Linked DNA regions of Callithrix jacchus. The protein of the gene in region 2 purifies or fractionates together with the protein of the main gene of each other region. This does not show direct contact. Links are inferred from orthologs where the notes say so. Each region holds a gene or a part of one and is shown on either strand. Other genes may lie near its edges.

Region 1 (10,124 bases), on a different chromosome or scaffold from region 2:
TGGCCTGAAGATCTCAGAGGCCTCCCTCCTGCACCTCAATAATGCCCTACTGATGAAACAACAGCTTTAGGAGCTAAGCAGGGCTTTCTCAATGAGACAGAGTGGTGTGAGTTTTGAAGTGAATTTCAGAATTGAACAAAGGGTATGTTCTTAGTGTTTTTAAGAATACAGTTAAGTAATCCTTATGTTAATAATCTTTCCCCTCAGTTTCTGTGCTGATGGACCACAAGCTTCTGCCTAAAAATAATAGCTGAGGCTTACACAGTGCTTTAGGATTAATAACATACTTTAATATCTATCTTAACACTAATTTCACAATAGCCAGCCATAGTAAGAAGACATTATTCCCATCTTATGGCTGTGGAATTGGGGTTCCAAAAAGTTAAACAATTTGAGATCAAATTCCAAATTCTGTGCTTGCTGTTAACATAAACATACTGGATTCTTTGGTGTAAATGACATGGTAGATCTATGGCATGCTACCATTTTGAGCATAGGAGCAGGCAAGGGCTACCAGGAATATCCAGACATAACCACTGGCAGGCCTTAGGACACTGGTGAGGGATAGGGAATGGGAGGAAACGGGATATCGTCTGATGGGATTTTCTAACTGTATACCTTTTATTTAAGAAATACATCATTGTATGGTTTTGTCCATGTCTCAGATGACTTTCTTCTGGTTCATTGTGAAAGCAGACATCCTATTCAATCACTGATTTTTTTTTTCTTTTATTCTGCCTAGGGGTTAAAGGGAATGTCCAGGGAAACCTCTTCAAAGTGATTACTAAGGATGACAAACACTATTACATTCAGGCCAGCAGCAAGGTTGAGCGAGTCGAGTGGATTGAAGCTATCAAAAAGCTAACATGACAAGGACCCGAGGAACCAGGATTCTTCCCTCCTACCAGATGACACAGACAGGATTTCCTGGAGAATGGGAGTGTGTTGAGACTTGACTTCTTTGTATGTTTTGTACTTCTTTGGAGGGTGAATGCTGAAGAGTTCCTCGGATTATAAACAGCAGTGGTGCCATTTCCTTCCCCATCTTCATGTTACAACCTGGAAAGGCTAGAACAGCCATTAGGTGTCAGCATCTTGAGTTTTACCCAGCATCACAAACAGCCATTCCCTTGGGCACTAAAATAGTTTCTCTTTGTTGGAACAATTACCCTGGCCATGCCATAATGCTGAATAAAACTCTTCTTATGCAGTTCTCTCTTAACTTCTTTGGAATTAGTAAAAACTGACTTTTGTTTCTGGTTATTGGAATCCTATGCAAAGTTTTATAGTTTTCAAGCAACATTTCAAGCATCTCTGTCCCTAAGACATACTTCATCTTAAAGTGGGGATGGTGGCAAAACTTTGAACATTCAGAGAATATTGTTTTGCTTTGGAAAACAAGTCTGCATAAATATACATTACAGAAGTCATGGACTCTGTCAGAGAACTTAATCACATATACAAAAAATAAATACATAGTTTTTCCATGAAAAATGGGCATTTAGAGATGGAGAGTAAGAGTGTGCTAAAGGACAGAGAAAGATGTAAATGGGGAAGACTTAAATCAAGGCATTGAATTTTGGTTTTAAAATGAACATTAGCTGAGACAAATGGCACCAAGAAATTTTACCAGTGGGGAGGTTAATCTATAGTGAAAAGTCTGTATCATACAATACTTTTACTTTTAAAGAACATTTTTATTATTTTCAAGTTTGTACAGTATCTGGCACAAGTTATTGCCAGCATTCTTGCCAAGTACAAATGCTTGGAACTCCCCTTAATCAACAGATAAATACATAACTTACATTTAAGGGGAGTGGATTACTTCAAAGTGCTTAGGTAAAAATTTGTCCTCTTAGTTTGAACTCTTAATTGTATCTAAAACACTGACCTGAATGAGAAATCTCAAGCTAATGTTTTACTTATTCCTTATATGGTAAGAGACTGACTACCTTTTAAAGTACCATTTTCCATTTGGCATTTCACCAAGGTCTAATGTCCCTGGAATTAGTTTGCTTTGCCTTTTGAATATTGACAGGTGTTTATCTGAATTAAACTACATTTGGCTTGATGGCTTCCTGCATCAAAATTGGCACAAGTATACCTCACTTTGGGAGCTATCAGGATCTCCATGGCTTGGAAAGTAGATGACCATTACCTTGGGGCAAATCAATGAACAAGTCTCAGCAAGGTACTGGCACCTACATTTTAAAAAACTCTCTAGCCATTTTGTTCTTGGTGTAAAAGTAGAATGGCTGGAGTATGGCAGCTGAGAAATGTTCTGCTTAGCGTGATGCAGTGCTTAGCATGTCTCTATGGGTCCGTCTTTGAATATTATGCACTTCAGAACTGGTTTGTCTTGTTTTGCTATAAAACTAATATGAAAAATGATTTGGGCGGGGCATGCTGGATCACACCCTCATGAAGGCAGAGGTGGGAGGATAGCTTGAGCCCAGGATTTTGAGACCTGCCCAGGCACCGTAACACCATTTGCCAGGAAAAAAAAAGGAAGATAAGTGGTTTCAATGTTCAATTTCCTCCTGGCCATCGATTTTCAATTAACTTATGCATAAACGAGACCCAAACTATCACTAATTTTCAGCTATGAGTTGATAGCCACTTGACCTCAATGAAAGGCAGAGTGGGAAATAGATGAAATTGTATTTTAAATGGACTTTGATGGGAGATTCAAGATTTTTGGTTGGTTTTTTTTTGAGACAGGGTCTTGCCTTTTCACCCATGCGGGAGTGCACTGGAGTGATCACAGCTCACTGCAGTCTAAACCTCTTGGCCTCAAGTGATCCTCCGGCCTTGGCTCCCTAAGTGCCAGGATTGCAGGCATGAGCCACCATACCTGGCAGAAATTCAAGATTTGGATGAACTGTTCACTTCTTTGCCAAGCCTATTCTTCAACTTATTTGGAGCTGGGTGTACAACTCGTCCTCATATGTATCTTGTCCCTGCTGTCTTTTAGGTTAGCAAGGTATATGCATGCTTTGTTCTTTTTCTCATGGTATCAGTGAAATATTGATCTTTCTCTAGCTAGGGTCAATTTATAAAATTGTCATGGAACCAAGCAAAAGGCCCACATAGAATAAAAATCACTTACCATGGAAGCCACCAGTATTTTTCAAGTTATGGCTTTTGAAGTATAACAAATTTCAGTAAACAAAATCAAAAGAAAAAAATTCCTCTGTGTACAACAAAGGAGCACCTGTTATATTTTGAATGCATTCTTCATGTTGCCACCTTTATAAACTTGGTTTTTTGATGCTTTGACAGACATAAGTGAAAATTATGTGTCAATCTTAAGTACATCAGTTTTCCTCTACATAGTCTTAATGCAAAATGCTGGCTGGCAATCAGGGCTCTTAGAAACAGCCTTTGGAAGTTAAACTTTTGGATTTCAAAAGCTAGTACAGACTGCTATATTTAACAAAAGGAACAAACCTTCATAAATGATACAAACTATCTGCCCAACACATTCTTCTATTTTCCAGGCCCTTTAACATTGAGTAAAGTCTAATCTTGGACTGACTATGGTGGGTTAGGTCTAATCTAAGTATTTTAATAGTTATCTGGGGATAATGAATAAAATCAAATACAACCGGTACCTCAAGTATCTTAAGAGAATAAATTTATGAAGACAAGTAGACTGAAGCAACTCAAGATTTCCTACACCTGACTAAATAATGTGTTACCTATAAAACTTATTATGTACAAATTAGTTCTTGAAGACAGAAGTAAATGTGGGGAAAAAAAAAAAGCACCGTAAGTGTTCAAGTAGATCCCTGTTTTGTTTTAAAGAACAAGAGCTCTAAGTGGTACCTAGTGGATATTTTAGGAGGAACAAAAATAAAAAACTGGATGATACTCCAACTAAATAAAAAATGCAGCTGCTTTTTACATTTTAAAAACATATTTACCACCCTGAATTATAAACTCAAGGCAAGTAGCTTATTATACCAATAAGGATGTGGTGTGATAAATTCCCTCATGCAAGTTGTCATCAATCTCAAATAGATAAAAGGCACAGAACCAATCTAATTCTTTCATTGCATTTTAAGGCTTTGGCCCTGCAATTAAGGGCCAACTTTCACTGTGGTTAAAGTTAAATTTATTTTCCCTAAACTCTTCTTTTCAAAGGATCTGTTATAGAGATCCTTTATTCACCTGCTCTTATAGTTCCACATCAATGCTAAAATGAAGATAATAGAATTAGGGTCTTAGTACTTAGAATGCTTTTAACTGGTGACAAGAAGGAAGAAGCCTATAGTTAAATATCCCAGAAATTTATTTGATGTTTGCATGAATACATTTTATGTAGAAAGATTGGGATTGTTTGCTTTGGATGCCCCTGGTAAATGTTATGAGGCATTGAATTAGAAAGGGGTGCCAATGTGGAGACATCAGAAATGGAAATCACAAGCCCAATTTTAGAACTATTCTTAAAGATTTGTCTCTAGTGAAATGAGGCCACTCCCTTAAAAATGCTCAAAGTGTTAGAGCTACTGTGAAAACAGCTGACATTTAGGAGGGCATTTCATGTTCTGATCTGTTAGAACATTTAAATACTTGGAAATAAAAAATATTCAGCTTTGAAGTTTTCAATACTGGAAAACTTTCAAGTCTAAGATTTCAGCCAGGAAGGGCTGCTCTGTGTTCCTTATATTGGACTTTGTTCCCCACAAAGTTAATCTTCAGCTTTGGCTTCCATTTCTTCTGCATCATCATCTCCATCCACTTCTGCATTTTCTCTTTCAAGCCTCTCCATCTGCCTTGCGAGTTCAGTCTCATCTGTATCTGTGACCACTTTGGGCTGTGGAAGCAGAGGTATAATTTAAAACTGAAGTAGTAAACACTATACAAATTTAATTTCAATACTATTACTACCTCACGTTTTTTTTCTTTTAACACTTTTCTAACAACTCTCTCATATCTGTTCACTTTTGAGTGCTGACTTGTCACTAACAAATTCCATTAGATAAACAGGTGAAATTTATGAGAACAACAGTATAGAAAAAGATGTATGTATTAAAATGGAAATTTGTTTTTGTCATCTTTATAAGCTAAAACTGAAAACATGAAATAAGCCCAGTGGCTGTATCTTTCAAGTCCACAAAAAGATGGACTCTTCCAGGCTCAAACTACCACTTACTAGCTTATTAGTCCTTTCCACTGAAGGAACCCCCCTCTCTCTCTCTCTTTCTCTCTCTCTTTCTCTCTCTCTTTCTCTCTCTCTCTCTCTCTCTCTCTCACACACACACACACACACACACATTTTTTTTCTTGTTGAGAAAAGGAAAAGACAGGAGACTTTTTTTTCTAATTCTAAGATCAAATTTTAGACATGCCACATCCAAATTCTAACAATAAAAAAACTTCTCATTTATATTGTTTATTCTCTTCCCCCTGGCCAGGGGGTAGGTGATGTGGTGAGGGTGACCCGTAACACCATTAATGGTCAAAGGCTTGAATAACCATCCTACAATATGATATTCCAAGGCCGACAGCTCTTATTTATCTATAAAAACCCCTTTTAGAAACCTCCTGAGACATTATTAAAAACGAATCTATTGATCTCACCTCCATTTGAACATTGAACACACCCCTCTTTTCCTCAATCTTTTCTTTGATAACAGCCATTGCCTGACTGAGGACAGAAAGGCCTTCTGTTCTCTCCAGGGTTGTCGTAGTCATTACATACCGAGGAGGAGCTATTAGATTAATCTAAAAGAGAAAACCAAAAATTCAATTATGAATGTACCTACAGAACCCACAACTATTAGGATGCTTGAGATTTTATTACTCTGCTATATTAACAAATCACCCCAAAATGTGCCAATTCTATAGGACAGTAATTTAGGGTCCTACAGAATTGGCGATTATGTTTTGGGGTGATTTGTTAATGTAGAAAAGTGAATCGATACAGGAATCTAATGCAGTAGTATAAACAGTCCACTGTAACACTGAATAAGAACAATTATAATTTCTGGGTATCTTTGGTAGCTAAATTAACTGCAATTATCATGAGTATAATGGATAATTTGTCTCTAAACTAAACTGATTGAAGAATCTTTCTACAAGATTCTGAGTTATTGCCGTTCAGTTAATTTTATCACTAATGAAAGATTCTGATCAAACCTCATAAAATTTGCATAGGTATAGATGGGAGAAAGTGTTACTCTTTTTAAAGTGCTATCAGTATTTTAGGCACAGCAACTCTTTATCGTAAATGAGGTTTAGCGCAGATGGCTTTCTAACAATAGGAATCTCCATTCACTGTGATAGTAACAGTAGAAACCAAAAAGGCCTAAAGAAAATCACAAACATCTAGAAATATTACTAAGACTCACTGATTAACTTTAAGAGTAAAAAAGCCACTTTTGTTGCAAAGTATGATTTTAAAAAAAAATCAAAACAAAGATCAAAGATCTTATTTGGCTTAGATGGGTAAATCAGCAGGGAAGGAGACAACTGACAACTCACCTTAATGGGCATGGTTTCTGTAGAACAATTCAAACCTGCTCTTAGGGCTTCTTTTACAGCATCAATGCCTTCATAACCATAACAAGCCACTTCAATATCTGTAATTACAAAATTCAGAAGTTGACACCAAAAAATGCAAAAAATATTTAAAAGTTTAAAGAAAATCAAACATGGCAGATATACTAGTATTCAGAGACTTAACCTGAATCCAACCTCTACACTGCAGTTCCTTATTTATAAACTGGAGGTAAGGAGGAGTGTGGTAAAGATGGAATATAACAATAACTACAACTTATCTAAAACAGTTTAGAAACTGCATTATCCTTTGACTCAGAAATTCTGCTTTTAGGAATTTGTCTTGAAGAACATTTGTGTAAATGGGTAAATATGTATAATATAAGGGTGTTAATTTGTAGCTTTTTTTTGTATCTGTGAGAACTGGCACAATCTAGATGTTCATCAAGAGGGGACTGGTTTATGTTAAGGTTTATCTGTTCTATGAAACATTACTCAGAATGAAAAAGGATGAAAAGATTCCTATGTTCTGCATGGAACGGTACCTATAATACACTGGGTAGAAAAGGCTAGATGGAGAAAATCTTGTATAGTATTTGTAAAAATTTGGAATATTTTAAATTATGCACTAACACCAAACAATCAAACCCCCTTTTTTTTAAAAAAGGGCTAACTTTAGGTTAGTTGAACTCACACAACTGTTTCTACTTGTGTTAATACAGAAATCTTATGATTCAGAAGCCAAAATAATTTCTTAAGCTTTTGTTATAAAAAATAAACATTTAGAAAAATTTATAGACGTTGATGTAGCAACATATTCTTTGGTAAGTCTTATTATTTAATAGCTTTTTTGATGCATATAAAATACTGTAAAAACATTTAAAAAATCATTTACCCGCTCGAATTTTGACAGCCTGTGGGGTCAAGCGTCTATTAATATTATTAATGAGTACTTCCCGTTCATCTTCATTCAAATCTAAACTATCCAAAATAGACGGGTCTCTGGTAAAAAAAAAATAAATAACAAAAAGTCAAGATTATATTACTGATAAATGTGAAAGTAAGCACCCTGGAATAATGCATATAATAGTAAAGAAAGCACAGGCTTTAATGTCACAATTAGAGTTCAAATCTTAGCTGTGCACTTACACCCAACTAATTATTAGTGAAATCAAAATTTTAGTGATCCAACTAAAACAAGCAATTTAGTATCTCCTAACACATCTGATATTCTAATATAATTGATTACTTCCATGCAATTAGGTGTCTCTGCCTCAAGGAGTTTATAATCTAGCTTGAAAAGAACAAAAACAGGGAAAAATTTGTAAATGTTAACAGTATATATACTGTGGGCCTCAGGAGAGAAAGGTATTACTTTCTAATGAGGTCAGGAAGGGCTTCATGCAAAAAGTAGTATTTCATCTAAGTGCCACAGGACATGGACCAGGGTCTTATTAACTGGCATGCCTGTTGAATGAGTGAACAAACAAAAATATGAAATAAAGACTAAAAGAGGAGTAGCATTGTAAAAAGCAAAGGCAGAACTATTTTAAGTAAGTTAAGATACAAAGGGCTGGCCACCAGTGGCTCATGCCTGTAATCCCAGCACTTCAGGAGGCTGAGGCAGGAGGATTGCTTGAGACCAGGGGTCTGTAGACCAGCCTGGGCAACAGAACAAGACCTTTGTCTCTATTACAAAGAAAAAAAGAAAGTTATGCCATATGAAAAAGGAATAGGAATAGTATGAGCAAGCATCAGGCTTAATAAGCAAGGGGTCTAGTTAAGGAACAAAAGGCAAGAGAATTTGGGTGGAGGGAACTTTTACTCAGCTAATATAAAGGAACAAGAAGACAAACCAACACAAATGCCCAAGAAACAAGATGACAAACAAACAGAAAATGGGCAAATGAGGTGAACAGATGTTTCACAGAAGAAATACAAATGGTCAATAAACATGAAAAACTGTTGACCCTTCCAATAATCAGGAATATGCAAATCAAAAGATACTATTGGGCATTCGTTAGACTAGAAAAAGAAGAAAAAAAAATCATATGTATTCCAAATTGTGGCAAGGATGAGGGGAAACAGGAATACTTATACAATTGCTAGAGGGAATATAAACTGTAGAATCAATTTGAAGAATAATTTGGTGAAACCAAGTGAGTTTAAAGATATATAATCAATCCTATGTCAATCCTATGACCTAACAACTTCACTCCTAGGTATATACATTAGAAACTCTCAAACAAGTACATATAGAGACATATACAGTATTCATCATAGCACTGTTTGACAAATGGGACAAAAGGGAAAAATTACCTAAACAACTCTTAATAGAGGAACAGATAAAGCATATTCTCACAATGAAATACTATAGAGATTAATATGGATCAGGTGTACATCTATCAATGTGGAAGAATCCTGCTTAATAACAGCCTTATATGTAAAAATGCAAGCAACAAAAAGATACAATAGGTTACATTTTAAATAAAAAATGATTATAGACACATGTGTAGTAAAACAATAAAAACAAATGATATTGACATAAAAATAATTTCAGAATACTGGTTATCACTGATAAGTGAGGGAAACGGGTGTGAAAAGGTAAAACACTGTTTCCAACTACGTCAGAAATTGTATGGAATTTTAAAACATATAAAGAACTAGCATTAGTTAAATCTGGACAGTCCCTACATGAATGAAGCAAGAAAAGAGTGCTAAGGGAAAGGGAATAACACATGCCAAGGCAAGAAGACAGAGGGGATGCTGGAGCTAGAAGTTAAAGAGGTAACTTGGGCCAGATGATGATAGTTAAGACAAGTTAAGAAATGTACTGAGGACTGCAGGACAGAAATATAAAGTGGTGCTTAATGGCTTAGTATAAAATCTGGATGGAGCCAGAATGCATGGGTTTGAATACTGCCTGGCTCTCTTATTTGTTAGCTGTGTGACCTTGTAGAAATTATTTAATCTCAGCTTCAATTTCTTCAACTGTTAAAAAAAAAAGGATAACAGCATTTATACTATTGTTAGAACTATACAAATGTTAGCTATTATCATTACTATACCCACCTTTTCTGCCACGTGAGATTCATATATATATGAGTCACATGAGAATAAACTTGAAGGGATTTAGAACCCCAGATGAGTTGGTTTGCTGGGGACACTTAACAGTCCTGGGTCCTACTAATTCTCTTCTTATTCCCCCTCTACCTCTTAACATTTAGGAAGGAGTGGGAGGTAAAGAGACACAAAGTACAGAGAACTGAGAGTCTGGCTTTTTTTTTTTTTTTTTTTAAGAGACAAGGTCTCACTCTGTCATCCATGCTAGAATGCAGTGGTATAATCATAAATCACAGCTCACTGAAACCTCAAATCACTGGACTCAAGTGATCCTCCTCCCTCAGCCTCAAACAAATACAAATTCCTGGGACTACATGCACATGCTACCATACCTGGCTACTTTTAATTTTTTTTTGAAGAGATGGGGTCTTGCTATGCTGCCCAGGCTTGTCTCGAACTCCCAGCCTCAAGCACTCCTCCACCTCAGCCTCCTATAGTGCTGGGATTACAGGCATGAGCCACCATGTACAGCCAATGTGGCTGTTAAAAGCAGAGAA
Region 2 (11,935 bases):
AAGAAATGAGTGTCATCCCTACGCTTGGGCTGGGATGCAAGTACCTGAGGGCCCCTTGGGTCTTACTGTCAGAGGATGGTCTTTCCTTAGAGGATTTCTTTTTTTCTTTTTCTTTTTTAGAGACAGGGTTTCACAATGTTGGCCAGGCTGGTCTCAAACTCCTGACCTTGGGTGATCCGCCCGCCCCGGTCACCCAAAGTGCTGGGATTACAGGCGTGAACCACCACATCCGGCCTTTTTTTTTTTTTTTTTTTTTTGAGATGGAGTCTCGCTCTGTTGCCCAGGCTTGAGTGCAACGGTGCGATCTCGGCTCACCACAACCTCTGCCTCCCAGGTTCAAGCGGTTCTCCTGCCTCAGCCTCCTGAGTAGCTGGGATTACAGGCACGCACCCCCATGTCCAGTTAATTTTTGTATTTTTAGTAGAGATGGGGTTTCACCATGTTGGCCAGGCTGGTCTCGAACTCCTGACCTCATGATCCACCCGCCTCGGCCCCCCAAATTGCTGGGATTTACAGGCATGAGCCACCGTGCCTGGCCCTCCTTACAGGATTTCTTTAGAGGGTAGATTGGATGGTGAGAGATAGAACAGCAAGTTCTAGCACTAATCAAGAGCAGCCACTACTTCTGAGAACTCGAGGGGCCTCATGGCTGGGGAGTGGCTTTATCTTAGCAACCAGGGTCAAAGGAGGTTGTTACTCTGGTTTAGAATTAGGAAAATACAAGGGGTGGGGACAGAGCTGGGAGTGCCGCTGAATTCCTAGCTGTGGCTGGTAGGCAATTCGGGACCTTGCTATGTCTGGCAGACCCCGTTGCTAAGGATCCTTGTCCTTAACCAGAGTCCTTGGGGAAAGAGAGGGATGGGCGACCCGGAGCCCCACTTTCCTCCCCATCCACGCCAGGAAGCTCGAACCTTGGGGCTCAGGCTGCTGAGTGAGGAGATGGTGGAAGCGCTGCTGGCCAGGCTCAGGCTGCTGCGAGGTCGGCTCCCCTCCATCGAGGGCTGAAAGAGAGAAAGAAAGGGGCTGTGTCTCTGCAGTGACGGGTGCAGGACAGAGATGGGGTCAGGGGCTTGGAGGTCGGAGGAGGCTGAGGAGAAAGAGACTGTTGTTTTGGGACTTGGGGGCTGGGGGAGGCCATGGCCCGTGACCACATACCAAGAGTGGTGCCAAGAGAGGTAGGCGGCCCTGGCAGCTGTGGGAGGGGGCAGCTGTCTGCAGCCCGGGCCGGAGAATAGGGGCTCCTTTATTCCTGCCCACTGGACTTGGGACAGGAATTTGACCCTCTCTGTGCTTAAGGACTCCCCATTCCCTGCCTCCTTCCTGCTGCTCCCGGCTACCTGTCTCCCGCCCTCCCACACGCACCCCCAAACCATCCCTGCCAACTCCCCAAGCCAAGTCGTGCGGCACCAGGAATGTGCACCCAGAGAGCCCCTCCCAGCACAGCCAGGGAACTTACCCAGCTCTGTGGTCCGGATGACAGGGCAAGGGGCACCCAGGCAGTCTCCCGCCTCTGTCTCTCAGCGGCCGTCTCTCATCGCACTAGATCTCTCTCTTCACCTGCTCACTCGCACTTTTTGTCTGTCTCCTGTCTCTTATGGCCTCTCTGTTTCTCTCTCTCTCTTCCTCTCTCTTCCTTTACACACTCTCTCTCTCCCCCTGTCCCACCTTCTGTGTCTCTCGCTGATCTCTATCTCTTCCAGTCTCTCTCTCACTCATTCTCTCTCTCTCTCTCTCTCTCTCTCTCTCTCCAATCTGTTTCTGTCCAAACCTTTTATTGCCAGACTCACAGGGTCTCTTCCTTAAGTCTCTCCTTCATTCGCCGTCTCTCTTTCTCTCTGTCTCTGTTACCCTGTTTCCTCCCTCACACCCAGTCTCTTCCTCTTTCTCTCTCTCTCCGGCTCTCCACGTCTGCCATTTCCTCCCCTTTCTCTTTCCGATTTCCCTTCTCACTTTCTCCCTTCCTCTCTCTCCCAGTTTCTCTTTCCTCTCTGCTGGTCTTTCCCTGCCTCTGCCAGCCGCCCACGCTGCCGTTCTCCCCTCCCAATCCCGGCTGTCCCCGCCCCTTCTGGCCTCCCCACTACAGCCTGACCCCTGGCTCAGCTGCCCCCACAGCTGAGGGGAGGCGCTATGGGCCCCCCAATTCCTGGGTTCCCTAAGGACCAAGGCTGGGACTTCTCAGTGTTGGGAGAGTGGCACCTGAGGCCTGCACTCCTTGGCCCCTGTGGGTTTGCTGTGGTTGGGGGCCTGGGCCGCTGGTGTCCTAAAGGGAGGGCGCTTGTGTCTTGCAAGGGGTGGGGACTCAGACTTCCAAAGCCCTGGAGCGTCTGGGTTAGGGATCCAGTCTCCTGGGTGCCTGAGAAGGTCCGAGGAGGAGTCAGAACTCCTGAGTTGTGAATGAGCTGGGGGTCTGGAAGCGTGGCTGTGATTGGATGGGACCAGGGATGGTTTTTCCAGGTCCTCTAGGGAGAAAACGGGGTGGTCCCAGTAGGGCAGGGTGAAAAGGAGAGTTCCAAATCTGCACCTCAAATCCAGGTGACAGTTCTCTTCTAGACTGAGGACAACTCCCTCAGGAGGGAGACGTGGTTCCTTAGTATATTTTGAGGAACAAGATTATGCACCTAGGCTGGGTGCCGAGGCTCACACCTGTAATCCCAGCACTTTGGGAGGCCGAAGCGGGTGGATCGCCTGAGGTCAGGAGTTCAAGACCAGCCTGGCCAACATGGCGAAACCCCGTCTCTACTAAAAATACAAAGCCAGGTGTGGTGGTAGGTGCCTGTAATCCCAGCTACTCGAGAGTCTGAGGCAGGAGAATCGCTTGAACCCAGGAGGCAGAGGCTGCAGTGAGCCGAGATCACACCACTACACTCCTGCCTGGGTGACAGAGCGAGACTCTGTCTCAAAAGAAAAAAAAAAACAAGATTAGGCCTGGTGCGGTGGCTCAAGCCTGTAATCACAGCACTTTGGGAGGCCGAGGTGGGTGGATCACGAGGTCAAGAGATCGAGATCATCCTGGTCAACATGGTGAAACCCCGTCTCTACTAAAAATACAAAAAATTATCTGGGCATGGTGGTGCGCACCTATAGTCCCAGCTACTAGGGAGGCTGAGGCAGGAGAATTGCTTGAACCCAGGAGGCCGAGGCTGCAGTGAGCCGAGATTGCGCCATTGCACTCCAGCCTGGGTAACAACAGCGAAAACTCCGACTCAAAAAAAAAAAAACAAAAACAAGATTATGCATCCGTAGGGGAGCAGAGCTGGGAGGAGAGCCTGGAATTTGTAGCAGAAGCCCCCAAATCACACGGAGAGTGCTGCCCAGGCAGAACTGTGGTTTGTGGAGGGAGAACTACTGCCCAAGTCTGAAGCAGATGAAACCCGGGAGTGGAGCCTTGTGCCAGTGACCAGGAAGGAATTAGAGCTGTTGCTTTAGCCGCCATTCCCCATACATCTGTTGAGTACCTACTGTGTGCAGGCATTGTTGCAGCCATTGGGAAGAAAGCACTGAGCCCTGGTCAGGTGCAGTGGCTCATGCCTGTAATCCCAGTAGTTTGGGAGGCCAAGGCAGGAGGATCACTTGAGACCAGGAGTTCAAGACCAGCCTGGGCATCATAGGAAGACCCTGTCTCTATTGAAAAAATTAATTAACTAAAAAAAAAAGAAAAGCAGTGTGACCTGCAAAGTGCCTGATCTCATAGTGCTTACATCTTTGTTCCCATTTGCAAGGAATCTGGACCCTGCTGTGGACCGTCTTGGTCAACTGGCTTCATTTCCAAGCCTGTTTCCCCATCTGTGAAATGGGAACAATGACACCCTCACACTCGGAGAGGAAACTGACCGGATGTGAAAATAGGAGACTCTAGGTGGGGCCTGCTGGCCAAATTGGGGTGGGAGACTGGGCCCAGTGGCTCACACCTGTAATCCCAGCACCTTGGGAAACCAAGGGGGGCAGATCACCTGAGGTCAGGAGTTTAAGACCAGCCTGGTCAACATGGTGAAACGCTGTCTCTACTAAAAATTAAAAAAGTAGCCGGGCATTGTGACCCATGCCTGTAATCCCAGCTACTCGAGAGGCTGAGGCAGGAGAATCACTGGAAACCCGGAGGTTGAGGTTGTAGTGAGCTGAGATGGCGATAATGAACTCCAACTCCAGCCTGGGTGAGAGAGCAACACTCCCTCTCAAAAAATAAATAAATAGGCCAGGCATGATGGCTCATGTCTGTAATCCTAGTACTTTGGGAAGCCAAGGCAGGTGGATCACCTGAGGTCGAGAGTTCAAGACCAGCCTGGGCAACATGGGTGAAACCCGTCTCTATTAAAAATACCAAAAACTGGGTGGATGAGGTGGCTCACACCAGCAATCCCAGTACTTTGGGAGGCCGAGGCAGGCAGATCACCTGAGGTTGGGAGTTCAAGACCAGCCTTACCAGCATGGAGAAACCTCGTCTCTACTAAAAATACAAAATTAGCCAGGCGTTGTAGTGCATGCCTGTAATCCCAGCCACTCTGGAGGCTGAGGCAGGAGACTCGCTTGAACCTGGGAGAATTGCAGAGGTTTCAGTGAGCCGAGATTTCGCCATTGCACTCCAGCCTGGGCAACAAGAGCGAAACTCCATCTCAAAAAAAAAAAAAAAAGCCCGGGCGCGGTGGCTCAAGCCTGTAATCCCAGCATTTTGGGAGGCTGAGGCGGGTGGATCACAAGGTCAAGAGATCGAGACCATCCTGGTCAACAAGGTGAAACCCCGTCTCTACTAAAAATACAAAAATTAGGTGGGCATGGTGGTGCGCGCCTGTAGTCCCAGCTCAGCTACTCGGGAGGTTGAGGCAGGAGAATTGCTTGAACCCAGGAGGCAGAGGTTGCGGTGAGCCGAGATCGCGCCATTGCACTCCAGCCTGGGAAACAAGAGCGAAACTCTTGTCAAAAAAAAAAAAAAAAATTAGCTGGGCGTCGTGGTACATGCCTGTAACCCCAGCTTCTTGGGATGCTGAGGCCGGAGAACGGCTTGAACCTGGGAGGCGGAAGTTGCAGTGAGCCGAGATCGCGACATTGCACTGCAGCCTGGGTGACAGAGACTTCGCCTCAAAAAATAATAATAGTAAATAAATAATTAGGCCTGGAGTGGTGACTCACGCCTGTAATCCTAGCACTTTGGGAGGTCGAGGCGGGGGGGGGGAGGGGGCGCGGATCTCCTGAGATCAGGAGTTCAAGACCAGCTTGGCCAACATGTTGAAAAAAATCCCGTCTCAAAAAAATAATTAATAAATAGATAAATAAATTGAGGTGGGAAGGCATCTGCCCTGAGCTAAGAGAACTGGCCCGCTGCTGAAGCAGGACCATGCATTTGATTGACAGTTCGCTTATTTGGGAGGCGTGGTCACGATCGGAAACTCCGCCGTGACGTCACAAAGTTGGAATCTCCGCGAGAAGTCCTGTCTTACTTTCACTTCCCACCCTTCGGGGTGTGCTCTCGAAACCCCGCCTCTCCCCGTGACGTCACACGTCGGGGCGCGGTAGACTATAAAATCTTCGCGGACGCTTTTCGCGTTCATTGTGTTGGTTCCTACCCTAGTTGTAGTTCACGTGCGAGAAGTCGCACGACCCTGCGCCCGCTTGTCGCCCCCGCGCTTGAGGCAGCCATAGATATTCTGTGTTCCTGGACCCCAACCTCTGAGGGTGAGATGAACGCGCTGGCCTTCCTAGCCGTCCGGACCTGGGATCGCTTCTGGCAGCCCGAGCCGGCCCTCCTACCCCCGGGGTGACGCGCAGTCCCCAGCCGGTGAGTAAGGGGTCGAAACGCCTGGGTCTCCACGGGGCTGGGGGCACGGATTTAAGGAGGAGAAGGGGTTGGGAGCCTGGAGTCCTGAGTCTGAGGGAGGAGGGATCTGGAAGCCAGATTCTTGGGTTCCTCTTGAAGGAATCGTCTGGCAAGTGGGTGGGTCGGGTCAGAATATTTGAGTCTCCAAGAGAGGGAGGGTGCGGGGGTTTGACTTGTCAATCTTCAGCAGGATGAGTGAGCTAGGGTCTATGACCTTGTCCGCAAGGGAAGCAAGTAAAAGACTTGTTCTTGGGACTGGGATTTCTGCATCTGAGCAAAGAGGAGGCTGGGGGCTTGGACCCTTGGATCTAAGGAAGAACTAGGGGCTCAGATTCCTGGCTCTTGAGTGATGAGAGAGAATGGAGCCAAGGGACAGAGAGGGGAGTGGCTGAGATCAGAAAGGAATTTGGGGCAGAGGCTCACGGTGCTGTTTATGATAGTTGTGTTACTATTTTTGTTGCTGTGACTCATAGTCATGCCCGAATGCCATCTCCTTAATGGCCCCTAAACTTTATTTTTTTCCTCCCCCTTTTCCAGCCCAGACACATGGCCCCAGGCCAAGCACCCCATCAGGCTGCCGGCTGGAGGGATGCCCATCCTTTCTTCCTCCTGTCCCCACTGATGGGCTTCCTCAGCTGGGCCTGGAGCCGCCTGAGGGGCCCGGGACCTCCAGAGCCCTGGCTGGTAGAAGCAGTCAAGGGAGCAGAAGCTGGCCTGGAGGGAGAAGCTGAGACTCCTCTGACAACCCCCGCTACCCTTTGGGACAGATACTCTGAAGAGGAGGCTGAAGACAGTGGAGGCCCTGAAGGGGACAGAGAAGCGATGGGCCTGAAAACCAGCACTTCCCTTCCTGAAGCCTGGGGACTTTCAGATGATGACGATGACAAGTATAGTGAGCGAGAAGCAACCAGTGTCCCTAGAGGGCAGGGAAGTCAATTAGCAGATGGCCAGCGTGCTCCCCTGTCTCCCAGCCTCCTGATAAGGACCCTGCAAGGTTCCGATAAGAACCCAGGGGAGGAGAAAGCCGAGGAAGAGGGAGTTGCTGAAGATGAGGGAGTCAACAGTTTCTCTTATCCTCCGTCACACCGGGAGTGTTCAGCAGTAGAGGAGGAGGACGAAGAAGCTTGCAGAGCCTCTACTGCCCTGTCTCCAGGATCCAAGCCCAGCGCTTGGGTGTCTTGCCCAGGGGAAGAAGAGAATCAAGCCACGGAGGACGACGGAAGAACAGAAAAAAGTCAAGGAGCCAGGAAGACCCCCGTGTCACCCCCATCTTCAGGCTCTAACCCCACGGCCTGGGAGTATCATTCAGGAGAGACATCCGAGGAGAAGGAAAAGGCACACGAAGGAGCTGGGAAAGGAAAAGCTGCCCCAGGGCCACACTCCTCAGCCCCAGCTCAGAGGCCCCAGCTCAGGGCTTGGCCGTGCCAACCCACTGATGAAGAGGAAGGTGAGGTTAAGGCTTTGGGGGCAGCTGAGAAGGATGGAGGAGCTGATCCTCCCTGCATCCCTGCCACAAGTGCCTTCCCGAAGGCCTGGGTATATCAGCCAGGAGAGGACACAGAGGAAGAGGAAGAGAAGGCGGAAGATGAGGACAGTGATACGGGATCAGCTGAGGACAGGGGAGAAGCTGAGACTTCCGCTTCCACATCCCCTTCAAGTGCTTTCTTGAAGGTCTGGGTGTATGGGCCAGGAGAGGACACAGAGGAAGAGGAAGGTGAGGAAGAAGATAAGGACAGTGACTCTGGATCAGATGAAGAGGGAGGAGCTGAGGGTTCCTCTTCCACTCCTGCTACAGGTACCTTCTTGAAGTCCTGGGTGTTTCAGCCAGAAGAGGACACAGAGGAGGAAGATGAGGACAGTGATACGGGATCAGCTGAGGACGAGGGAGAAGCTGAGAATTCCGCTTCCACACCCCCTGCAAGTGCCTTCCTGAAGTCCTGGGTGTATCAGCCAGGAGAGGACACAGAAGAGGAAGATGAGGATGAGGGAGAAGCTGAGAATTCCGCTTCCACACCCCCTGCAAGTGCCTTCCTGAAGTCCTGGGTGTATCAGCCAGGAGAGGACACAGAAGAGGAAGATGAGGATGAGGGAGAAGCTGAGACTTCCGCTTCCACACCCCCTGCAAGTGCCTTCCTGAAGTCCTGGGTGTATCGGCCAGGAGAGAACACAGAGGAGGAAGATGAGGATGAGGACAGTGAGGATAAGGAAGATGATTCAGAAGCAGCTGTGGGAGAAACTGAGTCAAACCCACATCCATCCCACCCAGCCCAGAGTGCCCGCTTCAGAGACTGGGTATATCAACCTGGGAAGGAGACAGAGGAAGAGGAAGCTACTGAGTACTGGGGAGAAGCTGAGCCCTGCCCCTTCCGAGTGGCCATCTATGTACCCGGAGAGAAGTCACCGCCTCCCTGGGCTCTTCCTGGGCTACCCCACCGACTGCAGAGGCGGCTCAAGCACCCAGAATCACCGACCCGAGATCCGGACCCTGAGACTCCCTTAAAGGCCAGAAAGGTGGGTGCTGAGAGCCCAGATTCTTGAGTCTTAGAGAGAAGCGGGGCTGGAGGCTGACTCCTGGGTCCCTGTAGTTGCAGAGGGTTGCATGTAACCTCCATAGGGAGGGCTGTGTATGCTGTCATGCAATCCCTTGTAAGAGGGCAGGCCCCTGGGGGAGGAAGAAGCAGCTGTGGCTCATGGCAGCCCCAGGAAACCACCTCTGCCTTCAGTGAGTCAGACGGAGACTCCTGTGACAGTGACAGGGATGTGACTAGCCAGATAGAGAGCATTTTTGTGTAATTAATTTTTGTTTGCTTCTCTCTCTTCCCCGCCCTCACCATCCGGATTCCCATGGCTGTGTGCATTTCCTCTCTGTGTCCCCATGTCTGCCCCCAGGTACGCTTCTCTGAGAAGGTCACCGTCCATCTGCTGGCTGTCTGGGCAGGGCCTGCCCACGCCGCCCGCCGGGGCCCCTGGGAACAGCTTGCCCGGGATCGCAGCCGCTTTGCACGCCGCATTGCCCAGGCCCAGGAGTTGCTGAGCCCCTGCCTCACCCCTGCTGCCCGGGCCAGAGCCTGGGCACGCCTCAGGAACCCACCTTTAGCCCCCATCCCTGCCCTCACCGAGACCTTGCCTTCCTCCTCGGTCCCTTCATCCCCAGTTCAGGCCACGCCCTTGAGCCAAGCTGTGGCCACACCCTCCCCCTCCTGTCTAGCTCCCCTGGACCTCAGTGGGAGGCGTGGCTAAGACCAACTGGTTTGCCTATAATTTAACTATTTATTTTTTCTAAGTGTGGGTTTATATAAGGAATAAAGCCTTTTGATTTGTAGCAAGCAGTATCTGTGTGTGTGTCAGAAACTGATAGCATCCTACTTACAGGTCCCCAAGGTAGCTGGGGAGAAGAGCATAAAACAAAGCACCTCAGGCCAGGTGGGGTGGCTCACACCTGTAATCCCAGTACTTTGGGAGGCTGAGGCAGGTGGATTGCCTGAGGTCGGGAGTTCGAGACCAGCCTGGTCAACATGGAGAAACCCCATCACTACTGATCTTAGGTTTACTGTGGGAAGTAGAAAAGTTCCTCTTTAAATAAAGTTCTCTTTAAAAAAGTAAGTGTGCTAGCCGGGCATGGTAGCTCACGCCTGTAATCCTAGCACTTTGGGAGGTCGAGGTGGGTGGATAACCTGAGGTCAGGAGTTCAAAACCAGTCTGGCCATGATGGTGAAACCCCAACTTTAAAAAAATAAAAGGAAAAGAATAAGTGTGCTAATAACTTTGTTAAGCCCTATCCTATGTAGCTGTCAGACATGCCACGCTTACAGGCACGTAGTACATTCTATGTCCTTGTACTTTAACCAGGATATCTGTGCTGGACGTGCTCACAGGCATGTCCCAGCTCTCCATTGCTTTTCCCTTTTGAAAAAGTTTTAAGGTGTTAGCCTTAAAATCGGGTTTTAGTTTAAATTGTGAAGTCTGGCTCCAACCAATGGAGATCAGACACAGCAGTAAGGACGACCCCAGACTCGTAAGGGGTCAATTTGCTTTCCATTTGCTCATTATACTCTTGTGGCAAGATGGCTAGTGAGGGTCCCCTTCCTGCAGTTCAGGAGGTAAAATTTGTGTTGCTGAAAGATCCTTTGTCTCTGATAACTTTTCTTTGCAGCACCGAGCATCTGTTTCTAACATTAGTGATGTTATCTGCAGAAGTAATTGGGGAAATTGCATATCTTGTGACCTCTAGAATAATGACTAGTCATCTACCTCCAATTTTTTTTTTTACTGTTTTTTATTTGTCATCCGGGCTGGTATTCAGTGGCTTGATCTCGGCTCGCTGCAACCTCCACCCCCTGGGGTTCAAGTGAATCTCCTGCCTCAGCCTCCTGAGTAGCAGGGACTGCAGGGGCGCACCACCATACCCAGCTAATTTTCTTGGTATTTTTAGTAGCGACGGGGTTTCACTATGTTGACCAGGCTGGTCTCAAACTCTTGACCTCGTGATCCACCCACCTCAGCCTCCGAAAGTGCTGGGATTACAGGCATGGGCCTGCACTACTGCACCCAGCCTCTACCTCTCATTTTTACTTTTTTGTTGTTATTGAGGCCAAGTCTTGCTGTGTCGCCAGGCTGGAGTGCAGTGGTGCGATATTGGCTCACTGCAACCCGGAATTCAAGCAATTCTCCTGCCTCAGCCTCCCTAGTACCCAAGATTACAGGCATGCCATGCCCTACCACGCATGGCTAATTTTTGTATTAATCTACCTCTAGACCTTGCAGAATTCAGGCTCCTCTCATCCTCCTAACCTGATGGTCTTTCATTAGCTTTACAAAAGCAGCTTAGTTTTGGGAAGGGTTATTCTCATTTAAACTAGAAACTAGAGGCCTGGGCATGGTGGCCCGTGCCTGTAATCCCAGCACTTTGGGAGGCAAAGGTGGACGGATCACTTGAGGTCAGGAGTTTGAGACGAGCCTGGCCAAAATGGTGAAATCCCAACTCTACTAAAAGTTTTTAAAAAATAGATTGGTCTGGTGGTTCATGCCTGTAATTCCAGCTATCCAGGAGGCTGAAGCAGGAGAATTCCTTGAGCCAGCGAGATGGACCAAGACTCCATCTCAAAAAAAAGAACACCTATAAATTTTTTTTTTTGAGACAGAGTCTCGCTCTGTCACCTAGGTTGTAAGTGCAGTGAAGTGATCTCAGCCCACTGCAAACTCCGCCTCCCCGGTTCAAGCAATTCTCCTGCCTCAGCCTCCCGAGTAGCTGGGACTACAGGCATGCACCACCATGCCTGACACCATTATTATTATTATTAATTTTTCGTATTTTTAGTACAGATGAAGTTTCACCATATTGGCCAGGGTGGTCTCGAACTCCTGACCTTGTCATCCGCCCGCCTGAGCCTCTCAAAGTGCTGGGATTACAGGCGTGGGCCACCTTGCTGGGCCAACACCTATAAATGAAATGTCTCCCACAGTTAGCTTGGTCTTAGCCCAGGAGTGATGAAGGGCAGTTTGGAGATTACAGGCAGCATGGGGTTGGTTCGAGCAGGTCTCCTTCACTGTCATAATGTTCTCACTGTTACGATTTTTTTTTTTTTTTTTTGAGGTGGAGTTTCGCTCTTGTTACCCAGGCTGGAGTGCAATGGTGCGATCTTGGCTCACCGCAACCTCCGCCTCCTGGGTTCAGGCAATTCTCCTCCTCAGCCTCCCAAGTAGCTGGGACTATAGGCATGCACCACCATGCCCAGCTAATTTTTTGCATTTTTAGTAGAGACGGGATTTCACCATGTTGACCAGGATGGTCTCGATCTCTTGACCTTGTGATTCACCCGCCTCGGCCTCCCAAAGTGCTGGGATTACAGGCGTGAGCCACAGCGCCCGGCTGGACAGGCTGGTTTCAACTCCTGACCTCAGGTGATCTGTCCGCCCACCTCTGCGTCCCAAAGTGCTAGGATTACAGGTATGAGCCACTGCGTCTGGCCAGTGTTGGTTATTATTAAGGGTGGTGCTAAAGAAGGCTCTTCCTCCAAATGAAGAGGCACAGAAGCTGGTAAGGGTATGGTATTTTATACGGTATTTTATTTTGCTACTCAATGGCCAGCTTCACACTGAAACTGGACAAACATATGGCGAAGGCCT

Evidence for each region.
Region 1: the proteins of PPP1R15A (region 2) and EIF2S1 purify together in Homo sapiens (affinity purification with western blotting; 4 studies listed by BioGRID and IntAct, with this or other methods). This does not show direct contact. The link is inferred for Callithrix jacchus from reciprocal best matches to the Homo sapiens genes PPP1R15A and EIF2S1.

What each region holds. Positions count from the first base shown.
Region 1 is NC_133509.1:102,368,445-102,378,568, reverse strand, and holds the end of EIF2S1 (eukaryotic translation initiation factor 2 subunit 1), read right to left. Parts: intron 7,507-10,124; coding exon 7,400-7,506; intron 6,588-7,399; coding exon 6,490-6,587; intron 5,731-6,489; coding exon 5,587-5,730; intron 4,820-5,586; coding exon 4,694-4,819; 3' UTR 4,277-4,693; downstream 1-4,276. Other genes in the region: PLEK2 (pleckstrin-2), read left to right, coding at 743-870. UniProt on the Homo sapiens protein: Member of the eIF2 complex that functions in the early steps of protein synthesis by forming a ternary complex with GTP and initiator tRNA. This complex binds to a 40S ribosomal subunit, followed by mRNA binding to form a 43S pre-initiation complex (43S PIC).
Region 2 is NC_133523.1:42,709,619-42,721,553, forward strand, and holds PPP1R15A (protein phosphatase 1 regulatory subunit 15A), read left to right. Parts: upstream 1-5,540; 5' UTR 5,541-5,770; intron 5,771-6,346; 5' UTR 6,347-6,355; coding exon 6,356-8,320; intron 8,321-8,698; coding exon 8,699-9,049; 3' UTR 9,050-9,131; downstream 9,132-11,935. Other genes in the region: PLEKHA4 (pleckstrin homology domain-containing family A member 4), read right to left, coding at 912-995; TULP2 (tubby-related protein 2), read right to left, coding at 11,883-11,935. UniProt on the Homo sapiens protein: Recruits the serine/threonine-protein phosphatase PPP1CA to prevents excessive phosphorylation of the translation initiation factor eIF-2A/EIF2S1, thereby reversing the shut-off of protein synthesis initiated by stress-inducible kinases and facilitating recovery of cells from stress.